7 linked regions of the Daphnia pulex genome follow. The protein of the gene in region 5 purifies or fractionates together with the protein of the main gene of each other region. This does not show direct contact. Links are inferred from orthologs where the notes say so. Each region holds a gene or a part of one and is shown on either strand. Other genes may lie near its edges. The genes, in order: FACT complex subunit Ssrp1-like, protein kinase C-binding protein 1-like, YY1-associated factor 2-like, E3 ubiquitin-protein ligase Arkadia-like, casein kinase II subunit beta, eukaryotic translation initiation factor 3 subunit J-like and titin homolog.

Region 1 (4,166 bases), on a different chromosome or scaffold from region 5:
ACTTTAGCTTTGGCTTCCCATATAGATCGATCTTCAACCTTCTGCCACATTTCGCCACCTTTTTTCATCAGATCTGTGACACTTATGCCAGGGTTATCTTTTTTAATCTGTTCGCGTGAGTCGTTCAACCACAGCATGTACGACGACTGTGGTCGTTTGGGCCTGTTTGCATCCTTATCCTTCTTGGATTTGTGCGATCTGGGAGTTTTAGGGGCCTACAACAAAATTAATAAACGATAAAAACTTTAATTCTGAAATTATTGGCAAATTGAAAGATGATATTACCGCCGATTTCGAGCTACTGGATTTCTTGGGTTCCTTTTCCTTTTTCTCCTTCTCCTCTTTTTTGTCCTTCTTTTTCTTCTTTTTGGACGAGGAATCGGAATCACTGCCAGAACCACTGCCAGCCTTGGCAGCACTACTAGCCTTCGCAGCACTACTAGCCTTGGCTCCACCTGATGCGTCGGATGCTTCCGAGTCGGTCGTAGCCACATTGGAGTCGTATTCTTCTGCTACGTCACTTTCCTCACCAGGTTTGAAGTCTTCGTCATTTTCATCAGAATCTCCACCCGAATCGTCACCTGCAACTGGCACATGTTAGTGGAAAGGCTTTTGTTTCGTTAAGCAAGGAAAACGTACCAACTGCGTCACGCTGTTTGCCTTCAGCCTTGACACGAGCCAAATATGCGTCGGGCGCTTCCTCTTCGTCCGAATCGCCAAAATCATCCCCATGAGCGGACTTGTCCTATTACGTACAACAAAAACTGATTAGTACAAACACTATCAATGGGTTGCTAGATCTTACGGATCGGCCAGTATTTTTGACGCGGAGCTTCTTGTTGTTTACGAAATCGTACAAGCGGTTATATTCCTCCTTTTCAATGCTACTGAAGGTGTGAACAACCCCATTTTTGGTCTCAACTTCGAAGTCAAAAGAACGGGTACTTCCTCCGCCACGAGCAAAGTTAACACTTGCAATTTCTTCGAATCTGTGCGAAGGAAGAATAAATTAAAAAATATGCAAACAAAAATTTCAGGGAAACGAATTCTACCGAATGTGAATAGGAGGTTTATGAACGTAAATAAAACCACGTTCTAGCGGATACAAGTATCCGGCTGCTGCTTTGTAGGAACATCCAACAGCGGGGGTTCCAGAATGGCTATAAATAATTAAAAAAGAAGGAAACTGTGAAATCAGTCTAGAACACTTGAAATGAAAATATAAAATTTTACCCAGTAAAATTTCCAGGTATAGTGACCTTTCGGTTAACCATGGCCTTCATGACGGTACTCATAACTTCATAAGTTGGACCATTACAATCACGAGAAAGTCGGCCTTCAAACTTTTCTTTCAATTCCTCCCTGTTAGGACAAACGTTTTTTGATGACGTGTTGAAAATGTTGAATTATTCAAAATTACTCACTCTGATAATGGTATTTCAAAAGATGTCTCCTCATCTTTGTTAAAGAGAAGGACCAAAAAGTGGTAACGCGTCTGACCTTGCTTAATAGGTGGATCAAGGCTTACCTGAATTACACAATAAAAATATGTAGATTAATGATGATTCTTTTCTTAATTTCTTTTTCAGAGATGTGTAACTTACTACAAAGAAAATTTGCCGACCATCTTTGTGCGGAAGTAAAAACAGGCGAAGTACAGTAGAGGCTGGAATCTTGTAGTCAAATGTCTTACCATGAAGTTGAAAGAATGATTGGAAAACTTTGATGTCATAGCGACCTCTGTCAAGGATAAAAACTAAATGAGCAAATGTTTTAAGTACAAATGATAGAAAATACCTTGGTGTGAGGCACTGAACTTCTCTGAAGATGGCAATTGCATCACCAGTAGCACTGATGACACTTGCTTTAGGCATCACCTGCTTCTGGAATGCTTCAACAGCATCATCTCCACCTTGATCATTGGACTGAATGAAGAGACGCATCTCCATCAGACTGACTGATGCATCATCATTCTAGTTTTAGAGAAAATAAAGCAGTAGGTAAGATGTCTGCAGCATTGTTTGTCATAATAGTACCCACCTGATGGAATTCTAAGGTGACTTCATTTTTCCCTGTTGTGCATTGGGACACATTGCTTAGAGGAATCTCAAAGGCAGTATGGTTTCCAACTTCAAAAGACATAGTTGAACCACTGAACTCAGCACGGCCCCAATTCCATCCTTTGACACTCAGCTCTTTCTCCAGCATGTCTTTTTTGTAGGTTTGAGTAAAAAACTTTGCCAGCTTGTCTTGATCCTAGACAAAACCAAATTAATAGGAAATTGAAAATAAAAAAGCTTTCAAATGTTAAAAAATTACTTACTGAATCTTTAAATCCACCATAGCGATGAAGTGCTCCGGTTCTGAGAAATACACGTAGTCCCCAAGCACCAGCTAGTCGCTGCCAGTTAACCAATTCAATGTCAGAAGAACTTATCTGTTCAACTTTACCCGTTTTGGAATTCTTGAACACGATACTCTGATCCGTTAGTTTTAGACGGCCTGGAGTCTAGAAGAAAAAATTTTGTCAATAGAAGAAGATTCACGTGCAGCCGATATGACAATTTAGCGAGCCTCTTACCATTGAGCCTTTAATTTCAGCTGAAACATCAGAGAACTCTAAAAAATCCATCACACAACGAAAAAATTGTAATCCCGATTGGCGAAATGAATAAAAATCCAACTAGACGAGCTGGAAAGCAAGAGAATAATCGTAACAATGTAAAACACCAGCAGTCGGTTATTTTACTTCGCGCCGAGCGGAGAAGTATAAGGAATGGCCATAAAGCGTTGCCAGTGAAACTCGTTTGGGCAACGCTAGATTTTAAAGATATTTGATACCGTATTTGAACATTTGAAATAAATCATAGTTTAATAGAAAAATTATTTTTAAGTAGAAATTTAAACTGGGGAAGAGGATTTTTCGTTGATTGGATTGGATAGGATTTCAGGATTGTGGAATGTGGATTCTACAATGTTGAGACTCCAGATGGCACTCACTACCATAGATTTTCTAGAGCTTTACATGATCAAAAGATCAAAAAGTGGTCAAGAGGGATCGACCGTATTCTTCTAGTGTTATCCGAAGTACTGTCAGCCGCAAGGCGGATTGTCAAGTTGCATTTACTATTGTAGAAAATAGTATATCCACGTGTTAAAAAATTGGAATTTGGATCTGAATGTTTTCTCGCTGGCCCTCTCAAATTAGTTGACTATATTTTTAAGATTTAAAATGGTTTTCTATTTCGTCAGCACCGCCGTTCAACCCAGTTGCGCACTTTTCATGGGAGAAGAAAAACATGAAAGTAAGAAGTAATCAATCAGTAAGATATAAAATGGGATTATTAATCCTTGTAGTAACAACTAGATGAGGAGTTGATCAAGTGGGGATGGCCTGAAGATGTTTGGTTCCACGTTGACAAGCTATCGTCAGCCCATGTTTACATACGACTAAACAAGGTAAGGGTTTTTTTTATTAAATCAAATAAAACAATTTTTAATACAGCTCTGTTACTATTCTTATTTGTAGGGTCAAGTAATTGATGATATTCCAGCAGCCATTTTAGAAGATGCAGCACAATTATGTAAAGCGAACAGCATCCAAGGGAATAAAATGAACAACATTGATGTTGTTTACACCCTGTGGTCTAATTTGAAAAAGACTCCTGGTATGGAAGTTGGACAAGTTGGATTTCACAAAGAAAAAGATGTACAGATTTCCTTCTTAATGTGTTCCTATCCATTATCTAACAATCAAGTTTTATAGGTTCGCAAGATTAGGGTGGAGAAAAGAATTAATGAAATTGTAAACCGTCTCAACAAAACCAAAGTTGAGAAAAAACCTGATTTAAGGTTTGAAAGAGAACAGAGAGACTGTGCAGAAAGAGACGACAAGAAAAGGCTCCTTAAAGAACAAAAAGAAAGGGAGAGAGAAGAAGAAAAGCGAAAAAAGGATGAAGCTGAACTAAGGTGACCTTGATTTACTAAACACTATATTTATTTTTTTACACAGAAATGTTAATTTTTACATGTTTAGGAGCTACGATCGCTTGCTGAAGCAAACGAACATGAAGACCAATAAAGATGATGATGGAAACGATTCCGATGACTTCATGTAAGAAATCGCTTACGTTAACAACCAGCCGAGTGTATGCGAACTCGATCAC
Region 2 (3,958 bases), on a different chromosome or scaffold from region 5:
TTGTTGTAATTGCTCGTCCTCCTTATTTGGGTTGTAAGCCGTACGTGGCGAGGGGTAAGCGAAAGAACCGTAGCGCTCAACAAGCTTTTTGATGTGTTGGTCAACTTCTTCAACTGAAGCAATCAAATTTGCTTTGCGCTGATTTTTTAACTGCATAGGCATTTCGCGGCTGCAAACAAACAAACATTGACATTAATTTTTTTTTGCAAAAAGATAAACCTTGTTCTTGTTTTACCTGTACAAAAAACAATCTTTGGCGGGCACCCAAGCTCGATCGTGTGCACCGAAAAAGCGCACGTCCACATTGCCTTCTTTATTTGCTTTCATCGCTTTAGCCGGCCAATGAGGAAACCCCTGGGGAAAACAACAAATCATTAAATAATTTTTGTTTTGCTCATTGGACGTGCCTATCAAGCCACTTAAAACACTTAAAACTAGATTTGTGAGAATGACTTGAGATGAAATTTACTTTGAGTTTGGCCCAGAGCAGTAAATGAGGCCTTTGACACGGTTCCAGGAACCAGGTTTCTCGTTTGGTGTGAGCATGCACATAGCAATCGGCACAAGTATCAATCTCAGCCATTTCATGTTTACACACCTGCAATTGGGAAATTTGATTTGGTTAAGATTTTGAAATAAATCATATTAAACCTTAAAATACCTTCATCAACGTTCTTGCCGTGCTAGTCAATTTTGAGTGAGACGAATTAAAGATTATGCAATTGTGCAAGATCCAGCGGAAATCAGCCAGGAAAGCTCTAGTGGAAGTGTAAGATCTTTGAACAATCTTCTCCTCCAGCTGGCTGATATCCACCGGACTAACAATATACTCGGTGTAGTGCGGGAATTCTTCCGTGTCAACAGGTTTAAAGAAAGGTTGCGCGTCAGCCACCGACTTGATTCGCTCCATAGCGAAGTTGAGCATTTCAGTTAACTGGTCCATCTCGAGATGGTTATGTTTTTCGGCATTGCGAACAGAGCAACATTCCGTACATGTCCAATCAGTCGGAATTGGGGACTGAAGTTGAACGCATCGTTGATGAAACACACGCGGGCACTGTCTGCATTCCAATACCTAATCAGAAACTTCATTTTAATCCATCACAGAAACGTTGGGACTTTTTTCTCATTACCTGGCCATCCATATGACACACCCAGCAAAAAGTGTCATGGCGCGTAAATGTCTTGCTTTGCAATTCCATGAAATGGCTACCAACTTTGGTCGATGGGGTACTTGCTGTTGATGGAGTGCTTGTTATTGATCTAAAGTTTGCAAAAGTGCTACAGTTAGTTACAAATGCTTCGTAACGCCAGCTTCATTTTTTAGTTACTTTTTGTTTCTTTTCTCTTGAATTGGAGAACTATGAGGAGAATGCACGGCATCTGTCCCTCCTGTATCCTCCCATTTGCGCTTTGTGGCTTGTGTTTCCACTTTAACCTGTTCAACTTCGCTAGTTGCACTTCGAACATACGAGTCCATAGAGCTTTTGACAGCAATTTGGTATTTATGCATGAAAGACCTGTAAGAGAAATGGATCTCCAATATATGGCTTTAAAAAACAAGTTCAGATTTCCTTACTTTTGCTTTGCGATTATGTCAGGATTGATCTGTGATCGCGTGGTACGTCCTGCGGAAAGTGACACGTCGTTTGGAGATGGGCTGATGGGTAATTTAGTCCTGCTGGATCTTCTTAGAGCTGCTGATGGAGTTCCTTGCAGTTTAATGCTAGATGCAAAATTTAAAAAGAATTTTTTGAAATTGTTGCCATGTGGAACCCTTGAGAAGGAATAATGTATAGACTTAATTTTTGTATTTACTTTTGGTTTTGGTCTCCTTTGTCAGTAAGACTCTGTAAATCATCTTCTAACTGTTCATTTTCAACTACACCTGAGAGACTGTCCACATTCTTGCCTTCCTGCTTCATTATTGAACCATGGCTAAGAATGAGTCCTGGAGGTGCTTCCTCATCTGATGTTTCTCCAGTAGTACCATCATCCTTTGTAGCTGTTTGAATCCCAGCACCATCTGAGTCTAAAAGTTCTGGCATTTCTTCATCCTCTTCATCCACATCTTCATCTACGTCTTCATCTTCATCCTCCTCAGAATCTTCAGCTATAAAAAGACTTTGTACTTCATCATCATCAATCTGGCTCTGTTCATCACCATTTAGTTGGGGAGTGCCATCCCTAGGTGAAAGAGTGTCGAAGTTTTCACATGCAGTGGCCACATTATCTGCAGGCTCACTGTTTTCACTGTTCAGTTTTCTGGACATTAAACCAACATCCTCCATGACTCTATCACTGGAAGGTTCATTGATGACATCAGCAGTCGCAGCGTTATCCATTCCGGGCAGGCAGCACAGTTTTTCCCTTGTCCCCTTGATATCTGCAATTAGTGATTCCAAATAAATATGTTATTGCGAAACGGAAAATGAACGTAGAATTTAGCAAGCATACCACTGAGGACTGACCTTCCTGTGCTTCGTAGAAACACCGCTAGAGCAGGCGGAATCCGGAGAGGATTTTTCAATCAAACAAGCTCCGCCCACAGGCTATCTATATTTCGGTCCAGTGATGATGCTACAAACAAGAAGAATGTTACAAATTAAAAAGCATCATCAATAATGGTGTCGTGAAAACAAACCCACTCTATAAAAAGGTGTCACGAATCTTGAACCACTTCAGAAGCATGCGATATATTTCAGCTCAGGGTTTCGCCAGAATTATTTTACACACACACACACACACACAGTCACACACACAAGACACACCGGCGGTGTATATAGCAAACAACGTTGTCAATTGGGGATATGAAAAATATTTTTTTTTTCTGCTTTTCACGACACCAATGTTTACGTTTTTACGCTCACTTGGTATGAAGTGAAACGATAATTCACTGTCAGGATGAAAATAATTTCCAAAATACTGTAAATTTTAAGCGAATGCTGTATTTTTAACCTCATTTAGTCTTTATCGATCAATTGCGCGCGCAACTCGTTTCTGAAATCGTCCAGCTGGAGATTGTGACAGGTGAAGAAATCCTTACAATACAAGGTTTGTGGAAAATTATTAGGTTTCATTAAACCGATTTATGGATTGTCTCTTTCTGAAGGCTGAGCTGTGAAAATGGAGTTTGCACATCTCATCAAGTCACCAAGGGTAGAAAAGGTTTTGGTCCACCGCCCACTTCACAAATCTGTTGAAGGGGTGCTATGTATAACTGGGCACCACCTCATTTTCTCTGCTGGAGGAGAAAATCCTGATGAATTTTGGGTATACCAATTTTATTAAGTTTTTTGTAAATTACCTTCACATTGTTTTTTTTTTCATTTTTACAGCTGATTCATAGAATCATAGATTTAGTGGAAAGAAAACCCAACACACCTCCAGCTGCAGGAGGCACTCTTACACTCAAGTGCAAAGATTTTTCTGTTATCAGTTTTGATTTCAATAATACAGAAGAACTGATGAATGTTTCAGCTTCATTGGAGTGCTTATCATCCATAGGTATTTATTACAGATCGGTGCTTATAAGCCTACATCTTCTAAAACCACCTGCTAATAGATCATAATTTTTTTACCACAGAGAATCAGTCTCTTTATTATCCTTTCTTCTATCAGCCAGTTTACACTGCAATAGAAGATGGTTGGACAGCATTTAGGCCAGAAACTGAATTTTCCAAACTAGTCATGCAACAACAGGAAGACTGGAGGATTTCTTATGTCAATAAGGATTATTCAATCTGCTCGTCTTATCCATCTGCTGTTGTAGTTCCCAAGTCGGTCGATGATGACGTCTTAATAGCTGCTGCATCGTTTCGAGTTGGAGGGAGATTTCCAGTTCTCTCATACAGGCATGAAGGAGGAGTAAGTTGCCATTTAATCATAAATATGCTGCAATATTTTTATTTCTTTTTCTTTTTATTCAGGCTGTGATGATGAGAAGTAGTCAGCCTCA
Region 3 (3,345 bases), on a different chromosome or scaffold from region 5:
TCAAGCTCTATTGAGTGCGCCCAATCCCGATGATCCATTGGCCAATGATGTTGCTGAGTTGTGGAAAGTCAACGAGGTAGAAGCTATTCGTAATGCTCGAGAATGGACCAGAACTTATGCTATGGGAAACATATGAAACCTGGATCTGTGGAAGGAAAAAGAGTAAAATTGTCAATCCGTTACCGAGAAATTGTGTTTGAATTTAGATTATTTTGCTTTCTTTTGTTCCTCGTCCATCAGCCTTTGTCGACTGATTCCCCTCCCTTCAATTGGTTGAACTGTCCCCGATGGTGATCAGCCAAAAAACTACATTTTGCTCGTTCTTATATCCCAATCTTCTTTTGTTTGCTCGTCAAAAGTTCTATCGACGGTTCATTCCAATTCACGCGTCGTTAAAATGATCGTCGATAGCCTACACTTTTTACCGTTTAGTACCACGAGTACCTCAAAAGGATACTAAAGAATAATAAAAATGCCGTCACCCGTGGAAGTCTAGAGTATCAAATTGTACAGCTGTGTATTTACTTGTCGTGGATGAGGAGGGTGAAATTATAAAGACGGATGAGAGCGCACATTTATCACGAAACGAAAACCATCCACTCGACAGACATAATCAATTTTTTACCAAATCTTCCCCGACCTCTTCGCACCGTTCAGATGAGGTAGGTTCAAACCGAAAAAGGGAAGCGAATATTGGTACTGAGATCCGATCAGAAACAGGAATTCCCAACACTCAAAAATAATCTCCAACATTATGGAATTTCGTGGTTACAAAAAAAAAAAAGGGAAAAACTTTGAATCCAGAATAGTTATAGACAACTGCCTCTTGGTTTTTCATGTATAGTTTTCGGTTTGGACGTCTGTCGCTCCAGTTCTATCTCACTGAAATTCGGTTGGGACCAAATTATAGCCTTTATAGATATTTAAAAATTATATACTTCTTGGCAGTTGAGAAAAGATCGGTATGGGGTCAATTGGGTGCGCAAACAAATACAGTTCAAATAAAATACCTCGAGATGCTAAATAATAATAAAAAAATGAATCACGAGCAACGACTTTAGTCAGTCTGAATGTTCTTGATCTGCAGGGGAAAGATCGTTGCCGTGATTGCTGGCACTACTGCTAGAACTACTGGTCGTGTGTCCAGCATCCAGATCAAGGTTACTGGGAGATGTTGACTTGCTGCTAATTTTTGGCCGAAACTCAGTAATGACTACTGTCACATTGTTCACTGTCACTTCTTTGTGCATAGCAGTGCTTCTGTCAACATTTTTCAACCTATTTTAAACAAACAATTAGCAAGTCACACTGAAGGATAGATATCAAATTTTGTTTTAACAATTTTATTAAAACATACCTTGGTCTGGCTTTACTGTTCCTGGTGGGGTTTCCATCTGATGATTTCCTCTCAGATTTATCTCTTTCTTTAGATTCCTTCTCTTTTCTATTTTTGTTAGCTAAGGAAGGATTGAACACTTGAGGTACCAACTGAGGATTGAGCCTTGGTTTCCTGAAAACGTGCAAGTTTTGTCACATCTGTTAAATGTTTAGAAATGGTAATATTGCTAAGGAAAAATTACCTGGTTGAGGTTCCTTTTCTTACATCACACATTGAACATTTAAATGCCTCTGCATTATTTCTGTAGGTACCTATGTAAATAATACAATGTTCGTCACCATTTGTCAACATCTTTTGTTTTCATATTGCGCTTTGTCAACTTACAGACACTGCAGTCCCAGTAATTTTCTTCAATTTGCTTGCTACTCCGCTTCGCCCTTCTTGAAGGTACAGAAACCCCCATTAATATGATTGAAATACTTATAACTAGCATAATTCATAGTTACAAAAATAAATAAAAACAAGAATATGGTCGGTCAAGGCTACACAATAGGTGTACGATTGTCCCAAGTCCTTCCCTCAAAATCGAAAGAAAATAAATGGATAAATTTACCTTGCATTTGGACTGCCTTTCTTTGAATCCATGATCAAAACGATGTGAATCAATCAAAATAATTCAACTACTCGCAAACTTCGAATTAAAATGTAGGAATGGCATTACAAAATACGTTATTAATACGCGTTATTCTGTGCTTTTCGGCTACAAACAAGATATCGATTATCGTGTGATCGATACGGAAACTTTGACATTATTTTCAAAACAAAACATTGTGATTTGGAAAGAATTTCTTTTTATCAAATGCTTTACACTATATAATAAATATTATGGGGTGCGGATTGAACACTTTTTCCAAAAAAACTTTTCAAAAATCGATTACCATATTTGATTTAAAAACAAATTGATAATCGTTTTGAATATTGAAATCAAGTTGAAAATAAATTCAAAAATTGAAAACGTTTTGAAAATGAATTCATAAATTGAAAATGATTTTGATAAATGAAAATGATTTTGAAAAATGTAAATGATTTCGAAAAACTAAAATGAATTTGAAAAACTAATATGATTTCGAAAAATGAAAACGAATTTGAAAAATGAAAATGAACTTGAAAAATGAAAATGAACTTGAATATCCATACAATTTCGGGAGTGCGATATGACACCACCCTACTCTATCCCCAGCTCTCTCCGGATGCTATAGCCACCCCGAGACAACCGACTAGCCATTGATGGCTATGTCGCTGATTCCAGCCAGCAAGGCCGTCAGCGATACTGTCAGCCCTTGCCGGGCGGTGCTGGCCACCGCTGCCGCCACAACGGCCGCCGCTAAAGTCTCTCTCGACCGCAGGCCGAGTATTACCCTACACAAAAATAGATTACACGATCCAACGTGAAAAGTTTCATGTTCCTGCAGTAAATGACACACAGCCTACCCAGCAACGATGAAGACGCGTGAAGACGGAACGGCCGAATGGGTGGCTTTCACCTGAGAAAAGTTCCAGTCACGCCTCGGTATGACGTTCTCGCGAAGTTCTCGTCATTCCACTAACTGCCAATTGCCCGGAAAGAAGTGTTCTGGTACGTTTCGCTGGATAGGCCTATGCGTCCTGTACTGCTGCGATACTCTGCCGTTCAATCCGACGAGAAGAAGAAGGCGGACACGCGACACGCCGTCTTGCTGACGTGGATCCTCATGTTGGTGCTGGCCCTGCTGGAAATTATCCGCTATCTAAGCGGATTGGGGAGCTGGACTTCTCTATTGTCTCTACGTCTTTGCCATGTGGTCCACTTGCGCCGGAAGTGATATACAATTGGGCCATTTCCAAGGAAGAGCTCATTGGAAGGATGGCTCTGTCTCAGCTGCAGCGACGGATTGAACACCAAAAATTGGCGCAACGTCTATCTTTTCTACCATCATGGAGGCAGCGGACATGGCGGTGGAGGCCAA
Region 4 (4,205 bases), on a different chromosome or scaffold from region 5:
GTCTGAGCCCTGGCAGCGAGGCCCTTCCAGTGCGAATGCCCCCGTATCAAGCGGAGGAGTTGGAAGTTCAAAAACTAATTACGGTTCCAATGGAAGCGGTAATACCATGCTGGGCAATGGAGTTGGATTGTCTTCTAACACCAGCTGGTCTGGCAACGGAAGTACGCAACAAGATCGCTGGAGCGCATCGTCATCCTCGTTAATGCCTGTCGGAAGGTCAATGGCGTCGTCTGGATCATTTAATAACAACTGGACTGGATCAGCTCCCCCTCTTAGTGGATCCGCGCAATATAATCCAGCGACAGGAAACATAGGGAGTCTTAACAACCCTGTTATCGGGCAGTCTGGATCCGTTGGCTATTCGGCAGATCGTTATTCGCGACACTAACTTTATCGCATCATATCCAACCGTTTTTTTTTTTCAACTTAGACGTTTACAATGTATGAAATCAATACACAAATTGAACTTTATTTTTGAAATCCCATCAATTTTTCAAGGTAGGCTGAGAATGCAACTGGATTATTTCTAGGAAATTTCTGGAGTTTAGTAGTTCTAAAATCAACAATGGTAGTTTTTAAGGTTTCTGGATAGCACATATAAACATGTCCTTCAGAATGTAACTTCTCAGCAAGTTCTAGCTGGTGATTGCCCATCAGCTTCTGGTTAACCACAACAATTAATGGCTTTGCTACACTGAGGGCCTCAAGACAACTGCCAGCACCAGCATGTGAAATGATTAGGGAGGCTTTTTCCATATCAGAAGAAATGTTTTCTTTAAAATGATAACAAGATATTTGTATTCTTCGTGAAATAGGAATTGGAGGTTCAACACCAAGTCCAATTTGCAGAACAAGATGTGTGTACCCATCATCTTCCAAAATCTGATGCTCAAATTTTATACATTATTATTTACTAGGAAAAATGTGTAATGCAACGTAAATATCGAACATACCTCTAACGTGTTTGGATGCAAAACTTGAGTTATTAATTCGTCAAACTGGGTAGTCCCTACAGTAACAAAAACGATTTTACTTCCCGATTCTTTATGTGTCACACTCATTTCGAACGACAGCAATACTAGTATTTCAGTTCACTTATGGACATTCCCCACAAAAAATTCTCAACTTGTTTACGAAATTGTGATATTTATTATTCAAAAAAACGAATAACTAATCTGTCAGAATGTCAGTCAGCCAGTCAGGCAAAAGGAAAAGAGACGATGACAGTTTTGTTCATATTTTTTTAAATATTATTGAATGAACTCTAAAATTACGTAAACTTTATTAATTTAGAAATTCTTAACTCATAAATGTAATTATTTTTAAGTTATTTAATGAATCATTTCATCATTCAAACTTACAACCAAAAATAAGTAAAAAAATCGATGTTGACCGAAATATTGGCACTTGGCAGCACCGTTGGCACTTGTTTACAGCAAAGACAATTGTCTCATCAGCTGTCCTTAACTGGAAAGAAAGGGTTTTGTACTTGATTGGCGTGACTCTTTGCCCTTTACCGAGTTTTCATACAGGATTACTGTTAAGTTTGTTTTTCAGTCTTTAATGGTAAGTCAAACTAATCTTAATTTTAATGACAAATGGTTTCATTATATAAACATATTTCATCAGGTGGTGTAGGGAGGAAAACGTCATCGTCTTTTCTTCCCTTGGGAGCATCTTGCCTCGAGCCGTCTCTATCGAGTGAGTTGTTATCAATAATGGGTGACGAACAAGCTGGCCCGTCTAGAAAAAATACAATGGACACTGAAAGATCCAATAGCTCGGGAACAAATAGTAGCAAGTCAGCAACAGAAAATGTTCCGAAACAAACATCACTTTCAGCAGAAGAAACAAACAATCACTTGGCATTTGGAAATGGAAGGACTAATCCGCCCAGAACACCTAGTAGGAATTGCCCTTCTATTGATGGTGAATGTCCATCAGGCCATTTTGATGAAGAGGATTTGGACATGCCAGAATTAGAAACTCCCAGCCCTGTCTTGATGCCGTCACAGCTGCTCTCACCCCCAGTTGCACTCCACTATGATGAAACTTTGCCATTGACTCTTCAAATGCCAACAAGTATTAATGTCAGTGTTAACTTGCAACCTTCAGTGTACAGTCTGTCTGGACCACCAGATCCTGTATTCCTTGACGACAGTATGGAGAGTGGGGAGAGAGAGATCACTATCACTCGAAATCCTTATTTCGATCCCTCTCTCTCACCTGGCCCAGTCGACGAGTTTCTTTCTCTTGCCTCCTTCAGTAGCCACGTCGATGGCTTTCACTTTGGACTGGAGGAGGCACCAGCACCTCCCCATTGGGCCAACAGTAACCGCGTAGAATCTTTTCCTCCAGCTGCTGCTTCTGCTGTAGCAGCATCATCTTCATCATCTGATGTCCGCCGAAAAAGACCGAATACAACTCAACAGGATTCAAATTGCAACGCATCGAAGTCCAAAAAACAAGCCGAGACTTCTGGTGGAGAACCTGTACCCGGTCCATCGGGTATCGGAGTTGCAAGAACGGTAACTGGCGATGATGGCCCAGTTGCTGATGATCTACAATTAGAATGTCTGACTGACGGTTCCTCCTCTGCTACCGAATCAGACATTGACGATGACGATAGTTGCATCGAAGTAGTAAGCGTCCGACCTGGTCTATTGCGTTCTCAGCATCAACCCGAAGTCGTAGATCTTACCATTTCAGAAGACGAAACGTCGACTCCCAATCCTTCTACATCGTCGGGCTATTCTCGTTCTACTGGGAGACAGCCCAAACCATCGTCGTCTGTAAAGTCAAGAGCTATACCTAAAGCAGAGCCTCCAATGGCACCAATACCGGTTGTGATTGAAGAGAACAATCAGCCAGACGCTGAAGTAAGACGAGCATCGCCGGCCTTTGTGTCCGTTACTCCATCGTCCTCTGCAGGAAACCGCCCAGGTGCTTGGTGCGGATGTCCAGGGCAGTTTTACGTGGACGGAGGACGGCCCACGCCCATGGGTGTAGCTTGGCCAAACAATGGTAATCCAATACGAGCACATTACATTCCTAATCAGTCTCTTCGACCATCTCCGCTAGCTCATCATGCCACTGCCTTTTCGTATACACCACCACCGCCAGCTTATCACCATCCTCCACCACCGCCAGTTCTGACTCTACGTTTGCCGTCAACCGTTCAAACCCACGGTGGAGCTCGTTCGCCCGTCTGGTGGAGTTATCCAAGTATGGCCGTTGAAACAGTAGCCACTCCGTCACCTCAACACGTAGCAGGAGATGGATCTTCTAATCAGGCTGCGGCCATTCCACTGCAACCCAGTCAGCTGGTTGAAGCCACTTCTGTCGCTCAACCTGCACCCGTTTTCGTTCCTCAAACAACTGGTATTTACCATGCGGCCCCCACTTCACGACCCGTGGACGGACGTTGTACGATGCCGCCTGCCATTGCTCGAAGCTTCATGCGTATCCATCCCATTCACCAGAGGATTTGGCATTCACAGCACCGCTCGCAAGAAGCTCTTCGACGTCATATGGACATGGCACAACGTGTCGCAGCTGGAGAAACCGTCGAAGTTAGCGGTCCGTCATCGATTCCGGATTCTCCGATGATGAGTCAAGGCATTCAAAATCAACAACAACCCACTGGTTTCTCTGGTCCGCCTCCTCCATATCATCCAGTTGCACTGGAGCGCAACAGCAGTCCTTCGCCACAATTCAGAACTGTTCACGCTCCCGATTTGAGTAGCCACATGATGCCGGCCGTTCAAGCTGAAATTGTCGTTGAAAGTTCTCCTGTCAATTTAGATCCTCGCCATCACCATTTGCCTCCTCCTCCTGCCTATGCTTTTGCTCCGTCTTACCACCACCACATTGCCCATTTCAGTCTGCCTGGCAATTTGCATATCAGTATAGGTCCAGGACCAGCCATCCCGCCCGCAGTACCACCACCACCACCTCGAACCGTACCAATGGAACGCGTTCCACCACCTGCCATGCCCGGTGTTCAAGGTGCCGCAGCAGTCGAAATCCAACCAGCCCATCAGCAGGAGCAACCTTACCACCGTGGCTACCCGTTGTACATTCACCACCAGCAGCACGGTCACCACCACCATCCTCCACCACCATTGATCCCACTGGGCAACAGTCCATTCTTGAGCGGATCACCACATCACTACCCATTTTTACGTCCTTCAACGCGTTTGGAA
Region 5 (4,055 bases):
TGAAAGTTCAAATTACATAATTAATATAAGCCACAAGTAATACTTACCATACATGAAAATGTTACCAGTTATTCGGGGAACAAGATCCACGAGAAATATATTTGATTTAAGACACCAATAAGTAGAAAATGAATTAAAAGTAAAGGGACCCCGATTCCTTATGGGAATTTACACGGGGAAAAATTAATTAGAACAAAGATGGCCGATTGCGGCGTTGCCGGATTGTAAAATCCCGACTTTCCGCATTGTGAAAAAGGTCTATTCATCTGACAAATCTCATCAAACAAAAAAGTAAAATAAACTTAATAGAATTCCAAGTAACTTAACACCGCGTAGTGAATTTCCTATACACTGGAGCTAACAAGCTTATTAGGTTTTTGGGCCTTTTTTTTCTATAACATTGTACGGTTATAATAACATCCTACGTCTTTTTCCTGACGTAGATTTGAAGCATAAGTGTTAAGATAACTAAATATCTGACAAATAAAGTACATAACATATCAAGAAAAAAATTCATTATCTTTTGTTTCCATCAAATTTGTTGTACAGCTCGGGTTAATCATGTAACCAATCAAAAGGGTATTGAGTTGCTATGGCGACGTTCAAAAGTTATGCAGTAGATTCGTAGTACGGAACATAAAGAAATAGATGGGTTTCGAGAAACGAATGGGATTCCGGGTTGAGACACTCTTGACGCACCATGACATAATATCTCTTCAGCTTGTGTTGCGACCTTTTCACCATAAAAACGAACAGCACAAATGAAGGAATAGGCTGATACGAGAAACACCAATCAATTAAGCGCTTAACTAATGGAACCAAATGTAGGCACCAACTTTAATTCAATTTTCATTCAGTTTTTTATTAAGTTCCAGAAAATAGGGGATGGGGGTCGGCAAACGTTACGTTTTTGTTAGAGTTGGGGCTTTTGTGACAATCTGACAAGAGGGGGAGGAGGGGGTAAAAAAAATAAGCCAAAAATCGCAGTACATAATTTCTGAACGTCGCCTATGCTAAATGGTAACATTGAATGAATAAGTGGCGAATAAGCAGATTCAGTTTCATTTTCTCCCGTTGTTGTAGCTTACAGTACGCATCGGAACTTTAAAATTAGAAGCGCCCTGTTGTTGGATCTGATAGGCCAACGGATGAATTTTAAAGCCATAAAGTCGTGGGACAAATTGATTGGTTGGTTTTTTCGGTCTATATTCAGGGTGAACCATGAAGAGCATGTGGGGGAATCCTGTCCCAAAGTACGCTCCATCAGTGTGGTGATGACGGGAGGATTTAGGGGTATAGACGTCCATACATTTTGGACAATAAAGCTTCACCATAGCTTCCCCTGGAACATCTGATAGGCCTGAGAAGGAGAACCCAAAAATATTTCAAGATAAAAGATAAATTTCTAGTGAAAGTTAAAAATATAATAAATAGTAAAATATATAGTAATAACAAATAAAATCATATTTTTTTATATTACCAATTGGCAACATCAGTTGATTCTCACAGTATACTCTTGGGCAATGACCAAAATCTCCAGCATGATACTTTTCAAGCATTTGTAGAATTCCACGATTTGTTAAAATGTATCTAGCATGAATCAACCCATAAAGCATTTCAGCAGCTTGTTCTATCAAATCAGACTGATTGGGGTTGTCTTCAACATCATCATCTTAAATGAAAAATACTGGATAAATGATTTACACTAAGAATATGAATGAAAGAATTCAATTGGTTATTTATACCTGGCTCTAGGTCCAAAATCATATCAAGTGCCTGCCGATAGTGTGGTACTTGTTCATTCAGTCCAGTTAAATTAAACTTGTCTTGGATATAATCTTCATCAACCTGTTGAGCAATTACAAAATATGCTTAGATTAATTGTTTAAATTTGAAATTACAATTATTCCTTTCCAAGTCTTAATGAATCAAATGCACTTGTTATAGCAAAATCCAAAGAAAATTCTGTGATTTTCATCAGTCAAATTCTACCACTTTCTGATCAACTGATTGAAATATTAAGTGCTCTAATATGTTTTGACCTATCACATCAAATTTAATTTTAATTTTATCTTACCTCACAGAAGAATTCATTTCCACGTAGGCCACAAAACCAGGAGATCCACGAAACTTCTTCGGAGCTGCTCATTTTTCTATGGGTGAGAAAATTTGTGTCAAAACGTGATGTAATTCGTTTAACAAAGCCGTTGATGTAGTTCACAAATCCAAAAATCAATGATTTCTACTCATCAGTTTACTGATTGCAATGCGCGCCCTCTCTCCCTGTCTAGCCTTCAGCGTGTGCAAACTGTGCACACCTCTCCCTTCAGAACACGTAATGTAAACTCTCCCCAAGTCACCATTCTCATTCTTATGTAGACTCTCACTAAAAAAATTGCTGAATCGACGAAATTACCATACCCGTGTACACTATGACCCCTCCTGTTTCGTTGAATATTTTCCAAGTCAAAATTGAATACAATTAATCGTAAACATAACAGTTGAAATTCAATAAATCTTACCTCTTCAAGCCTCTGTTCGCCACCCTAACAAATATGTGTGCGAAGTCGATCTCGTTTTCTCCTAGGGCCTTATTTCTACACAGGCTTTTTTCTGTAAGGTGACATCTATTAGTAACAAGAAGAAGTGTGTGTGCAGTACAAGTAATTCCTTATGAATTCATGATTATGTGGTGAAAGCGCGAAGTTTTCTTATAAAAAACATGATTAAAGAGAACCCATTCCTTAGAATCACACAATTTGAAGGAAGAAAATATAATATAGAAAATATAAAGAAATGAAGTAGGCCTAGTAGGTAGTACGTTGCTTTTCAATGTCTCTTCTTATTTATTTCCAGTAAATATTAGCCGCTAGATGGCTTTTTTTGTTTATTTATTCGGAAATTCCATCGTAATCTTGTCTGTAATCTTTTCAACGCCATCTATTGATTTTCATTCAGTAAACGATAATAGAATATATATATCCGCCGTGAAGCGTTATCAACTCTACTCAATGTTGTGAAAATGTCATTCGGTTTTTCAAATGAAGAAGATGATGACTTTGGCTCAATTTCAATTAAGTAATATCATTCTTAAGTCATTTCTATTAGGAATAGATGTTCATGATATAAAAAATTATAACACTAAATCGCTATTTTAGTTCTAATTTAGCATCAATATTTCACGATTCGGGGATCCACCAATCCAATTCAAAGTCATTAATCTATACGGCACCTAAACAACCTCCAAGTAGTACACTTCCAACCACAAAGGGCATGTCCCAAGCAGTTATTGCTGCAGCTGCTGTCACATGTTATAAACTGTAAGGAGGAAAGCCAAATCAAAGAATTAATTTATTTTATTCTCCTGTTTATCATTTCCAGAAATAATGAAAAATATGAACCACTTCCTGGAAAAATAGGATTAGCCTTATTGGAAGAAAATGAAAGTAATAAAACTTATCAGATAATCCTTTACCAAAATAAGCAGAAACCACTAGCAAGTGTAAGGGTCACCTCAGAATTTACCATAATTGTAAGTACAATTTTTTTTGTGGATGGGGGGGATTATTTACACTACTATTTAAACTTAAATAATGTTTCTCCACTGTTTTGTTGCAGAGTCAACCAAACAACTTCTGTACATTTTATGATGACCACATGCAAAACTGGGCAATTCTGTTTGATTCCAAAGAAGTTGCTCAGAAATTTCTTGGAGAGGTATTAAATAATTGTTAAGTGTAAGCAATATGTGATTCACTATAATTTAAATGTATTTGACATTACTTGTAGATTGATAAAATGAAAAATGTTTTGGCTGGACACATGAATAAGCCATCATCTGCAGAAGCGTCTTCCATTGATAGAATAGATGGCCCATTAACAAACCCTATTGCAAATGAAACACTCAGTCAAGATAGTAACAAAACCAAACTTATATCTCGGTAATGCAAGTAAATGTTAAATAATTCCAAGTATTATGCAAACATATTTGATTGTTTCTAAACTACAGAATTGCTAAACTTGGTCAGCCCATTTTACCCCTCAGTGGAGCAATC
Region 6 (3,234 bases), on a different chromosome or scaffold from region 5:
AACGCCATATAACGAGTTAGAAGTATCGACCAAACAACCACTTTTATGCCACTACTAGTCTGCTACTCAGCAGGAAACGCACGTGCTTCATTTATTGATTAGGCATGCAGCCGGCTGCCACGGCAACGATTTCCATTACATTTTAAAAACAAAACCCCCCTAATCCCCTCTCTTACGCCCACTGGGTATCAAATAAGGATTCACCAGTATACAAATTTGCGGGGTACTCAAAACTCAAATTTAAAAAAATAAATATTGAAAGTTATTTGCTTACTTTTGACAGTGTGTAGCATTCAATGGGACAAATACATCTAACTACATCTAACTTTACAACTGTCACCATCTCCTTTTTTGACGCTAAAAGTAGAAAACTGGAACGTCTAAGAAAATATGCAACTTAACTCTATATATTGAATTAGAATAATTAAGAGGGAGGTTTTAACTTTTAACAGAAATTCAATCTCAATATATCTTAAAACACTGAAAAAACTGACAAGAGCAAAATGGCAAAATCATACATTTATTTTACCAATAAACCTTTTCCCGCCAAAAACAAAAGAAAAACAATTGGACCCTACATGAAGTCGTCATAGTCTCCTCCTCCGAAATCATCACCGAAGTTGTCGACCATTCCTTTGTCCATTTTTAAAGCAACTTTTGTTTTTCCTTTCTTTCCACCTTTTGTCGCCGCCTTCACCATCTTGAGTTTTTCTTCGTGCAAGGATTTGGTAGTTAGACTAACTTTTCTAAGGACTTCGACTTCCACTATGTTGAAAAACTGGGATGTAGAAAAGTTTTTAGCAACCAACATTAGAAAATGTGACTTACATCCAATGCAAACATCTTTAATGAAGTCCTCTATAAAATCATTATAGCACGCTTTAGTTGACAATGACTGAAGTTTTTTCACCAAGTTGTTCTTGAATTCTGAGAATTCCTCTTTAGATGAAGGGTTTGCTTCATCTATGCTTCCCTCTGTAGGCAAACTACCAGTAATTCCTGGAAAATAAAAATAACATTGAGAACAAAATATAAAACAAATCATGCTTAGTGCAGGTCAGCAATACAGTTTCCTAAGACAACTTACCAAAGGTTTCCTTGGCCATTTCAAAATCTGATTCTTCAACTAGTTTTTGTCTCCGAAGCTTTTCTGCTATTCTCTCTTCAGGTGTCATGTTTGCTTCCTGCAATATTTTTCTGGCTTCAGCTTCTTCTCTGCTTTTCTTTTCTTTTTCGGCTATTTTTTCTTCTAATCTTTTACTTGACTTTTTTTTGGTAGCCTGAAAGTAACAAACACATTTTAAATTTTTTGGATACTTTTACGAGAGATCACATGTACTTACTGTGGCTGCTGCTTTGACTTCAGCAGGCTTATTTTCTGTTTCTTCATCTTCCCAGCTATCCTATCATTTATAAACAAGAAAAAATGATAATTTTGAAATCAATCACAACTTTATGTAAAACTCATTGAGCAATAAGAATTTTTTGGCAAAAGAAGACACATGGTAGTCAAGTGAAAGTTGTAAGAATTGGAGCAGAAATAGAAAGGTACTGAGAGAACTTTTTTTCACTACAAGCGCTACAAGGTTCTACCAAATTTGTAGATATACTTACTACTAATATCATCACAATTGAATTACAACTCACCTTGACAGGTTCATCTTCATCCTCACCTTCCCATTTATCTGAAATTATGGCAGTCGTAACTGGAACAGGGACAGAGGGTTCAAAATCTTCGGCATCTATAATCACCACAAAATCGTATTTGATTAGAGTATACGATTAAATGGAACTTTGATATGCACTATTGAGAATTTCATACAAAAAACAGGTGGAATTGAATAACTTAATATAGAAATAATTAAATAAAATCACCCCAATCCGCCTCGGCCTCCATCTTCAACGAAAAATCGTGAACACACTAGTGTCCATGGCAGTTGCCAAATGCTTTCACTTTTCTAATAATGTTAATATGTGCATTACAAAATATTAAATATAGAAACCTAACAATAATTAAATTTTGAAACTTTATTGCAAACCTTTTATTATGAATTATTTAATTTTTTTTACCTGAGATATCTCGTTAATCCCAGCGTTGCTTAGTCTAGTGTTTCTGTCTTCCAGAGGCGCTAGTGTTTGCCTGTTTCCGAACTGCTTTTCTCTGACATTACCTGTTATTTAGCAATTGATAGGAGTTTCTGTCTGTATTAGTTGAGTTGACGTTTCACGGTGACCGTCGAAACAAAAGTTACCGCAAATTGGAGTAACAAAGTGACCGAAGTTAAAAAAAGAAATATTTGATAATGTCTGGATTTGATCAGAATCCTTTTGCAGAACCGGCTGTTTTCAACCCGTTTGCGGTAGATTATTTATAATATGTATATTATACTTACTATTACCATACTAATACCTTGGTTGAAAACTGGTGATTCATGGAGTACTCGCCGCATACAATATGAAAGAAAACCTTTTGAAAAATCACCTTGTTTATTAGTTTAGTGGTAAAGTGGTTGTTTACTTTCACAATAGGATCCATCTGTCCAGCAAGCTGCAGGAAACAATGCTGCGAGAGCTCAGCAAGGTCTTGAAGAATACAACCCTTTTGATGGTAGTAATCAAACTACCAGAGTTTCAATGGTAAAACATAATTTTATCATGAAAGTGGGAAGTGTGTTTGATTTGTTACAAAATTTAAGGACCGTGTTGGTGGAGCCAATCCACCCCCAACAATTCAAGCTGCCCCAGTGATATCTCCAGGACCACAACAACAAGCAGCTATGTCAAATGCGGATTTTCAAGTATTAAAACTTAAAAAGAAAGAAGGAAATCTTTATTCATTATATTGCATGGTTTTATAGAGACGTCAAGAAGAACTAGAGAAGAAAGCTCAAGAATTGCAGAGGCGAGAAGAAGAATTAAAGAATAATGTACCATTCAACTGTAGGAGAGAACAAATTTAAATGAAACTTTACTTTTTAATTTCTGTTATTTACTTCTTCATTACAGCTCAGCGCAATAATTGGCCACCACTGCCTGACAAGTTTTGTGTCCAACCATGCTTCTATCAAGACATCAATGTGGAAATCCCACTTGAATTTCAAAAAATTGTCCGCATGTTATACTATATTTGGATGCGTAAGTTAAACATATCATAGATTTCTTGTTTAAGTTTATTTTTGTTATCAGAAACTTTTATTGATTTTGTTTTGTTTCTTTATTTTCAGTGCACACCCT
Region 7 (4,288 bases), on a different chromosome or scaffold from region 5:
GAACACAGAGAGAGACAGACACCGACTGGAAAACGCTCGAAACAGTCGTTTTCACAGAATCCGTAGACGGCAACAACGTTTATGCTGGCGCTAGTGTACACTCAAGAACTAGCCAGACTGTTCTAGAACTAATGTTTCGTAACGTAAAAAACGCGGTTTTCATCAACAAAATTGAATTAAGTAGACTATTTTATTTTTCGAGAAAAATCTAGATATTTTTTTACGTTTAATTATTAATCGTTAGAATTGATATCGAAATATTTTCGAGAATTTTTTTTAAAGTCTACATCTAGATGTTCTTTTGTTTTGTGATAACGACATGGGATTTTTAAAATCAATATCTGCGTTAGATTCACTTCCGTCTTTCCAAATAATAAAATTACAAACGCATGAAAATGAATGAAGACATTTAATTGAACTATTTTCGAAGTCGAAGAGTCGATTTGGCAACAGTTTAAATGACTTCCATTAAGTAGAATAATGTAATAATATGAAATCAATCGTTTTTATGTCATATTTAATTTAAAATGTGAACATATGTGTAATATCTTGCAAACCTGGAAAAAAAAAATTACATGGTGGGCCAAAACATGAAATGGTAACCATTCATTTCGCAAAAATAATTAATGGGCGAGAAAGATTTGTCGATTTTTAAATTATTTCGAAAACTCATTTGTTTACGTCAATAGTCAAATCAGGGCTTCCTGCAAATGATTTTAAACTTCCTTTTTATGTTGGTAGCGGAACTTTTTGACGTAACCTTTGACCATTTCTTTGATTTTGATGGGATTTATTTCGCCACTCTTCGTATGACAAATCTGGCAAACAGAAAGATTGACCACATTAGTTCGATATTAAGTTGAGCGCAGAAGAACGGAGATGTTACCTTGGGAACACATTTCCTAAGAATTTCCTTGTAGTCGCCCTTGGAAATACGTTTGCTGGTGTAGTATGGTTTGAGTGCCAAACGAACCTCTTCCACCACTCTCTCTTGACGGTTTAATTTCTTGAGAAACTGCAAAGCAAGAATTTGTTAAAACATTCAATTGGTAAGCAATAATAAATTAGTAAATTTACCTTTTCTTTGACTTGGAGTTCGACCGCCGAACTGGGACATTCTTCATTGCCATCTGGGCCTATAGTCGTCGTAATGGATACCGACGGATCCGTTCCAGCAGGTAGCGCCGATTTGACGGGCGTTGGTTTAGCTGCTGATTTCGAGTGCGAAATCTTGGGGGTTGGTTTCGACGCCGATCGTTGATTGCTGGTGCGTACACGTTGATGGCTGGCTGATTTTAAAATGGAGTCGAAACTTGAGCTACTGGATGCATTGGCCGAAGACGTCGGTATTTGAGATGGGGCCGATTGGCGTGGTTTACTGCTAGGTGTAACTTGACTTTGCTGAGGTTCATGATCAGACATGGGGGATGATGGAGACGCAGACGGCGGACCAAATATGTCACTTCCCTCACTGGGCGTCGGTGATGGTGGTGTCATTGGTCGACCGGGTTTTCCATGGATAGCGATCGACGTTGAAAATGACAGCTGGGGCGGCGCTGTTGAAGTCACCTTCATCACCTGATTGAGTAGCGGGGCCACTGCAGGAGGCAAAGGAAGCAATCCAGCGATATTGGGCGGAGGGAACGAAGTGTTGTACACTCCCGAAATCAAGTTTGAAGCATGCACTGCATAAGGAGGTGGGGCACTGGTCAGCAGCGGAGGAGGTGGAAGAGGTGGTGGAGGGAGTGATGTCATCGGAGGCATCAGCACGGCCCCAGGATGAGGAAGAGGGAAGGAGGGCATCATGGGCGGTGTTGGAGGAGGTGGCAAAGGAGGCAGAGTTGACAGCAATTTTGCTGACGCCATCACAGGACTGGGTGAACGTGACGGGGTTGAACCTCCACTGGAAGGAGTGTGAGTCGGTTGAGACGGATCGTAGGTGGAGGTAGGCAATGGTGATGCACAAACTGCTTTGACCGGTGGTGTGGCTGGTCTGAATATAGGAGAGACGTTGCCCGCTGCCTTGGCAGGAGAATGTACCACTCGACCTGGACCATCTGGTAATGGAAGATTCATCAGAAAATTGTCATCTTCTTTCATCTTCCCGGTCGAATCCGTGATGTTGTCTTGTGTTGTTTTCTGCAATTTACTGGGGCTAGTTTCCAATGTCGTCGACTGTTGCTGCTGCTGTTCTTCTTCTTCCTCCTCCTCTTCGGCGGCACCCAACAGAAGCAACGGATTGTTAAGCTTCTTGATGGAATTTGATTTAGAAGCCAAAGAAAATTTGACGGCCGCTGCTCCATGCTTTGAAAACAAAAGATTTTTCCCTCCGCCGCTCTTTGGTTTGATGGAAGTCAACGCCGAAGAGCCTTTCGTGAGGGGTACGGGAGGAGGTGGCTGAGGTGTTGAATGTTGAGCTTGAGGAAGCTGGGGAAGTTGTTGAGATGGCAGTGCGGGCGGAGGTAGAGGTGGCAGGGGTGGAAGATGCGGTTCTTCATCTGAATCAACAGAATCCGACAAGACAATGACATCGCTAGGTCGAGCATCGTCCAACGGAATTTCTCGACTCGTTTCTATGTCAATCAAGACAGGCTTAGATCGAGGTCGAATGGGTCGACCTCCTGCTGGACGTCCTCGACCTCTTCCTCGCATGACGTCTCTCCCTTCTTCCCCACGTCGGCTAGGAGTTGGCGGCATCGGCTTCTGGGTAGGTTCTTTGGCGCAACTGACTCCTTTACTTCCGTCTGGTGTGGTTGAATGTTTGTCTGGAGATTTGGATTCTAAATGCGGTTTCACCACTGCTTGTTTACTGGGTGTCGACGGTTCCGGTTTGCTGCTAGAATGAGGCTTTTTGTGAACCTTCTCAGTCGGCTCAGCTTTTGTCACGGGAGTAGAAGGAGGAGGCGGTTGTGACTTTTTGGATCGATCCGTCCGTTCTGGAGATGATCGAACTTCTTCTTTCATCTTCTTACTGCTACTCACAGGATCTTTGGATTCGGCCTTTCGTTTCTTCTTTTTAACCAGGGGTTTACTGGAACTACTCGAGCCAAAATGAAGGCTGACGACAATCTTGTCACCCGATGCGAAAACAGCTTTACTGGGTATTTCAATATCATCACCGCAAGTTGCATTAGGATCAGCCCCCAGCGCCCCCAATTCGCCACTTCTTTTCCCTTCCGAAGCTGTGTGAGATTTCTTATCCTTGTGTTTGTCTTTGATCTTTTTCTTCTTCTTCCCCTTTTTCTTCTTTTCTTTCGTTGATGATTTGTCGTCGCTTCTCTCTTTGGACCTGAGCGACGACTTGGTCTTGCGCTTCTTTCGCTCCCCATCGGATGACGAAGATCTCGACCGTTTGTGTTGATTCTCTTTTCCTTTCTTGCGTTCAGGTGATAGGGATGAAAGGGAAGTCGAAGATGATGAGGAAGAAGAAGAACTCGACGACGATGAGGAGGAAGTTCGTTTACGTCGAGGTTTGCTAGTCTTCTTGGACGAATGTTCTCGGCTTTTAGATTTCGAATCCGAACGTGACCGATGCTCCGACTTGGAGGACGAATGATGCCGATCGCTGCGAGATCTTTTCTCCACCACACGCCGGACGTCGTAATGCTTAATCTCTTGCCGTTTCGATCTCTTGTCGTCTGACGTGTCTTGTTCTTTTTTCGGTTTAACGTCGCCACGTCCTTCCACCACCTTGATGTCACCTTGATGACGATAATGACGAGTTTTGCCACTGTCCAGCTTTTTGAATGTGGAAGGAATACCTTCGTCCTCCAAAGACAGCTCTACCTTCCTCTCGCCTCCAATACCAGCAGACCGTAAGAATTCGCAGTCTTCCGTTTTGACGATAACTTCGTCACCGGTGGATTTCTTCTTTTTGGCGTTGGCACGCTTTTTGCTGGCAGCTTTCTTGTCCACAATCTCACCCTCTTCACAATCTTTGAGACCCTTTTTTTCAAGCGGTCGCTTCAGCGAGGCAGGGGGAGGAGTCAGCATCCGCACAATCCGGTTTGTGGAAGGTGGAGGTTCTTCATCTGAATCGTCTTGATCGGCTTCACTCTCGTCTAATTCGCCCTCTTCACAATCCGATATCTGTTCAAGGTGGTTGATCTCTCTCCTGGAATCGTCATCGTCACTTCCAAAAATGTCTTCCATTTTCTGCCTCCGTCCAGCACTTTTGAGCCCAGCTTCTGTTGGGGCAACCACAACCACCGGAGAAACCAATACAGCAGATTCGGTGGTTTCCAACGGTTCTTCAATTTTGACCACAGGTTCAACCGTTTTCACTGGA

Evidence for each region.
Region 1: the proteins of casein kinase II subunit beta (region 5) and FACT complex subunit Ssrp1-like fractionate together in Homo sapiens (co-fractionation; 5 studies listed by BioGRID and IntAct, with this or other methods). This does not show direct contact. The link is inferred for Daphnia pulex from reciprocal best matches to the Homo sapiens genes CSNK2B and SSRP1.
Region 2: the proteins of casein kinase II subunit beta (region 5) and protein kinase C-binding protein 1-like purify together in Homo sapiens (affinity purification with mass spectrometry; 3 studies listed by BioGRID and IntAct, with this or other methods). This does not show direct contact. The link is inferred for Daphnia pulex from reciprocal best matches to the Homo sapiens genes CSNK2B and ZMYND8.
Region 3: the proteins of casein kinase II subunit beta (region 5) and YY1-associated factor 2-like purify together in Homo sapiens (affinity purification with mass spectrometry; 5 studies listed by BioGRID and IntAct, counting the BioPlex papers as one, with this or other methods). This does not show direct contact. The link is inferred for Daphnia pulex from reciprocal best matches to the Homo sapiens genes CSNK2B and YAF2.
Region 4: the proteins of casein kinase II subunit beta (region 5) and E3 ubiquitin-protein ligase Arkadia-like purify together in Homo sapiens (co-immunoprecipitation; 3 studies listed by BioGRID and IntAct, with this or other methods). This does not show direct contact. The link is inferred for Daphnia pulex from reciprocal best matches to the Homo sapiens genes CSNK2B and RNF111.
Region 6: the proteins of casein kinase II subunit beta (region 5) and eukaryotic translation initiation factor 3 subunit J-like purify together in Homo sapiens (co-immunoprecipitation; 3 studies listed by BioGRID and IntAct, with this or other methods). This does not show direct contact. The link is inferred for Daphnia pulex from reciprocal best matches to the Homo sapiens genes CSNK2B and EIF3J.
Region 7: the proteins of casein kinase II subunit beta (region 5) and titin homolog purify together in Homo sapiens (affinity purification with mass spectrometry; 3 studies listed by BioGRID and IntAct, with this or other methods). This does not show direct contact. The link is inferred for Daphnia pulex from reciprocal best matches to the Homo sapiens genes CSNK2B and PHRF1.

What each region holds. Positions count from the first base shown.
Region 1 is NC_060026.1:11,629,052-11,633,217, forward strand, and holds the start of FACT complex subunit Ssrp1-like, read right to left. Parts: upstream 2,801-4,166; 5' UTR 2,633-2,800; coding exon 2,582-2,632; intron 2,510-2,581; coding exon 2,324-2,509; intron 2,257-2,323; coding exon 2,041-2,256; intron 1,974-2,040; coding exon 1,798-1,973; intron 1,741-1,797; coding exon 1,605-1,740; intron 1,529-1,604; coding exon 1,425-1,528; intron 1,363-1,424; coding exon 1,234-1,362; intron 1,161-1,233; coding exon 1,053-1,160; intron 990-1,052; coding exon 806-989; intron 746-805; coding exon 640-745; intron 588-639; coding exon 286-587; intron 216-285; coding exon 1-215. Other genes in the region: coiled-coil domain-containing protein 25-like, read left to right, coding at 3,233-3,305, 3,368-3,459, 3,530-3,709, 3,767-3,969, 4,037-4,118. UniProt on the Homo sapiens protein: Component of the FACT complex, a general chromatin factor that acts to reorganize nucleosomes. The FACT complex is involved in multiple processes that require DNA as a template such as mRNA elongation, DNA replication and DNA repair.
Region 2 is NC_060028.1:7,383,018-7,386,975, reverse strand, and holds the start of protein kinase C-binding protein 1-like, read right to left. Parts: upstream 2,801-3,958; 5' UTR 2,649-2,800; intron 2,581-2,648; 5' UTR 2,458-2,580; intron 2,387-2,457; 5' UTR 2,346-2,386; coding exon 1,819-2,345; intron 1,727-1,818; coding exon 1,580-1,726; intron 1,521-1,579; coding exon 1,332-1,520; intron 1,264-1,331; coding exon 1,134-1,263; intron 1,076-1,133; coding exon 662-1,075; intron 599-661; coding exon 470-598; intron 355-469; coding exon 236-354; intron 170-235; coding exon 1-169. Other genes in the region: myotubularin-related protein 9-like, read left to right, coding at 3,127-3,273, 3,339-3,507, 3,587-3,867, 3,930-3,958. UniProt on the Homo sapiens protein: Chromatin reader that recognizes dual histone modifications such as histone H3.1 dimethylated at 'Lys-36' and histone H4 acetylated at 'Lys-16' (H3.1K36me2-H4K16ac) and histone H3 methylated at 'Lys-4' and histone H4 acetylated at 'Lys-14' (H3K4me1-H3K14ac).
Region 3 is NC_060019.1:11,515,374-11,518,718, forward strand, and holds YY1-associated factor 2-like, read right to left. Parts: upstream 2,113-3,345; 5' UTR 1,985-2,112; coding exon 1,953-1,984; intron 1,780-1,952; coding exon 1,724-1,779; intron 1,651-1,723; coding exon 1,581-1,650; intron 1,511-1,580; coding exon 1,358-1,510; intron 1,279-1,357; coding exon 1,062-1,278; 3' UTR 501-1,061; downstream 1-500. Other genes in the region: ubiquitin-conjugating enzyme E2 N, read left to right, coding at 1-136. UniProt on the Homo sapiens protein: Binds to MYC and inhibits MYC-mediated transactivation. Also binds to MYCN and enhances MYCN-dependent transcriptional activation. Increases calpain 2-mediated proteolysis of YY1 in vitro.
Region 4 is NC_060024.1:8,994,934-8,999,138, reverse strand, and holds the start of E3 ubiquitin-protein ligase Arkadia-like, read left to right. Parts: upstream 1-1,405; 5' UTR 1,406-1,566; intron 1,567-1,629; 5' UTR 1,630-1,718; coding exon 1,719-4,205. Other genes in the region: SAFB-like transcription modulator, read left to right, coding at 1-388; UDP-N-acetylglucosamine transferase subunit ALG13 homolog, read right to left, coding at 469-888, 954-1,061. UniProt on the Homo sapiens protein: E3 ubiquitin-protein ligase. Required for mesoderm patterning during embryonic development. Acts as an enhancer of the transcriptional responses of the SMAD2/SMAD3 effectors, which are activated downstream of BMP.
Region 5 is NC_060025.1:6,073,023-6,077,077, forward strand, and holds casein kinase II subunit beta, read right to left. Parts: upstream 2,663-4,055; 5' UTR 2,523-2,662; intron 2,492-2,522; exon of another isoform or gene 2,422-2,491; intron 2,154-2,421; 5' UTR 2,150-2,153; coding exon 2,078-2,149; intron 1,849-2,077; coding exon 1,746-1,848; intron 1,673-1,745; coding exon 1,481-1,672; intron 1,361-1,480; coding exon 1,062-1,360; 3' UTR 501-1,061; downstream 1-500. Other genes in the region: FK506-binding protein 15-like, read left to right, coding at 3,023-3,078, 3,159-3,320, 3,382-3,532, 3,619-3,717, 3,790-3,941, 4,010-4,055. UniProt on the Homo sapiens protein: Regulatory subunit of casein kinase II/CK2.
Region 6 is NC_060019.1:7,843,391-7,846,624, forward strand, and holds eukaryotic translation initiation factor 3 subunit J-like, read right to left. Parts: upstream 1,963-3,234; 5' UTR 1,898-1,962; coding exon 1,876-1,897; intron 1,743-1,875; coding exon 1,648-1,742; intron 1,404-1,647; coding exon 1,344-1,403; intron 1,281-1,343; coding exon 1,088-1,280; intron 1,000-1,087; coding exon 829-999; intron 766-828; coding exon 575-765; 3' UTR 501-574; downstream 1-500. Other genes in the region: secretory carrier-associated membrane protein 2-like, read left to right, coding at 2,304-2,360, 2,530-2,637, 2,697-2,798, 2,859-2,940, 3,007-3,135, 3,225-3,234. UniProt on the Homo sapiens protein: Component of the eukaryotic translation initiation factor 3 (eIF-3) complex, which is required for several steps in the initiation of protein synthesis.
Region 7 is NC_060023.1:11,578,726-11,583,013, reverse strand, and holds the end of titin homolog, read right to left. Parts: coding exon 1,078-4,288; intron 1,016-1,077; coding exon 887-1,015; intron 819-886; coding exon 717-818; 3' UTR 501-716; downstream 1-500.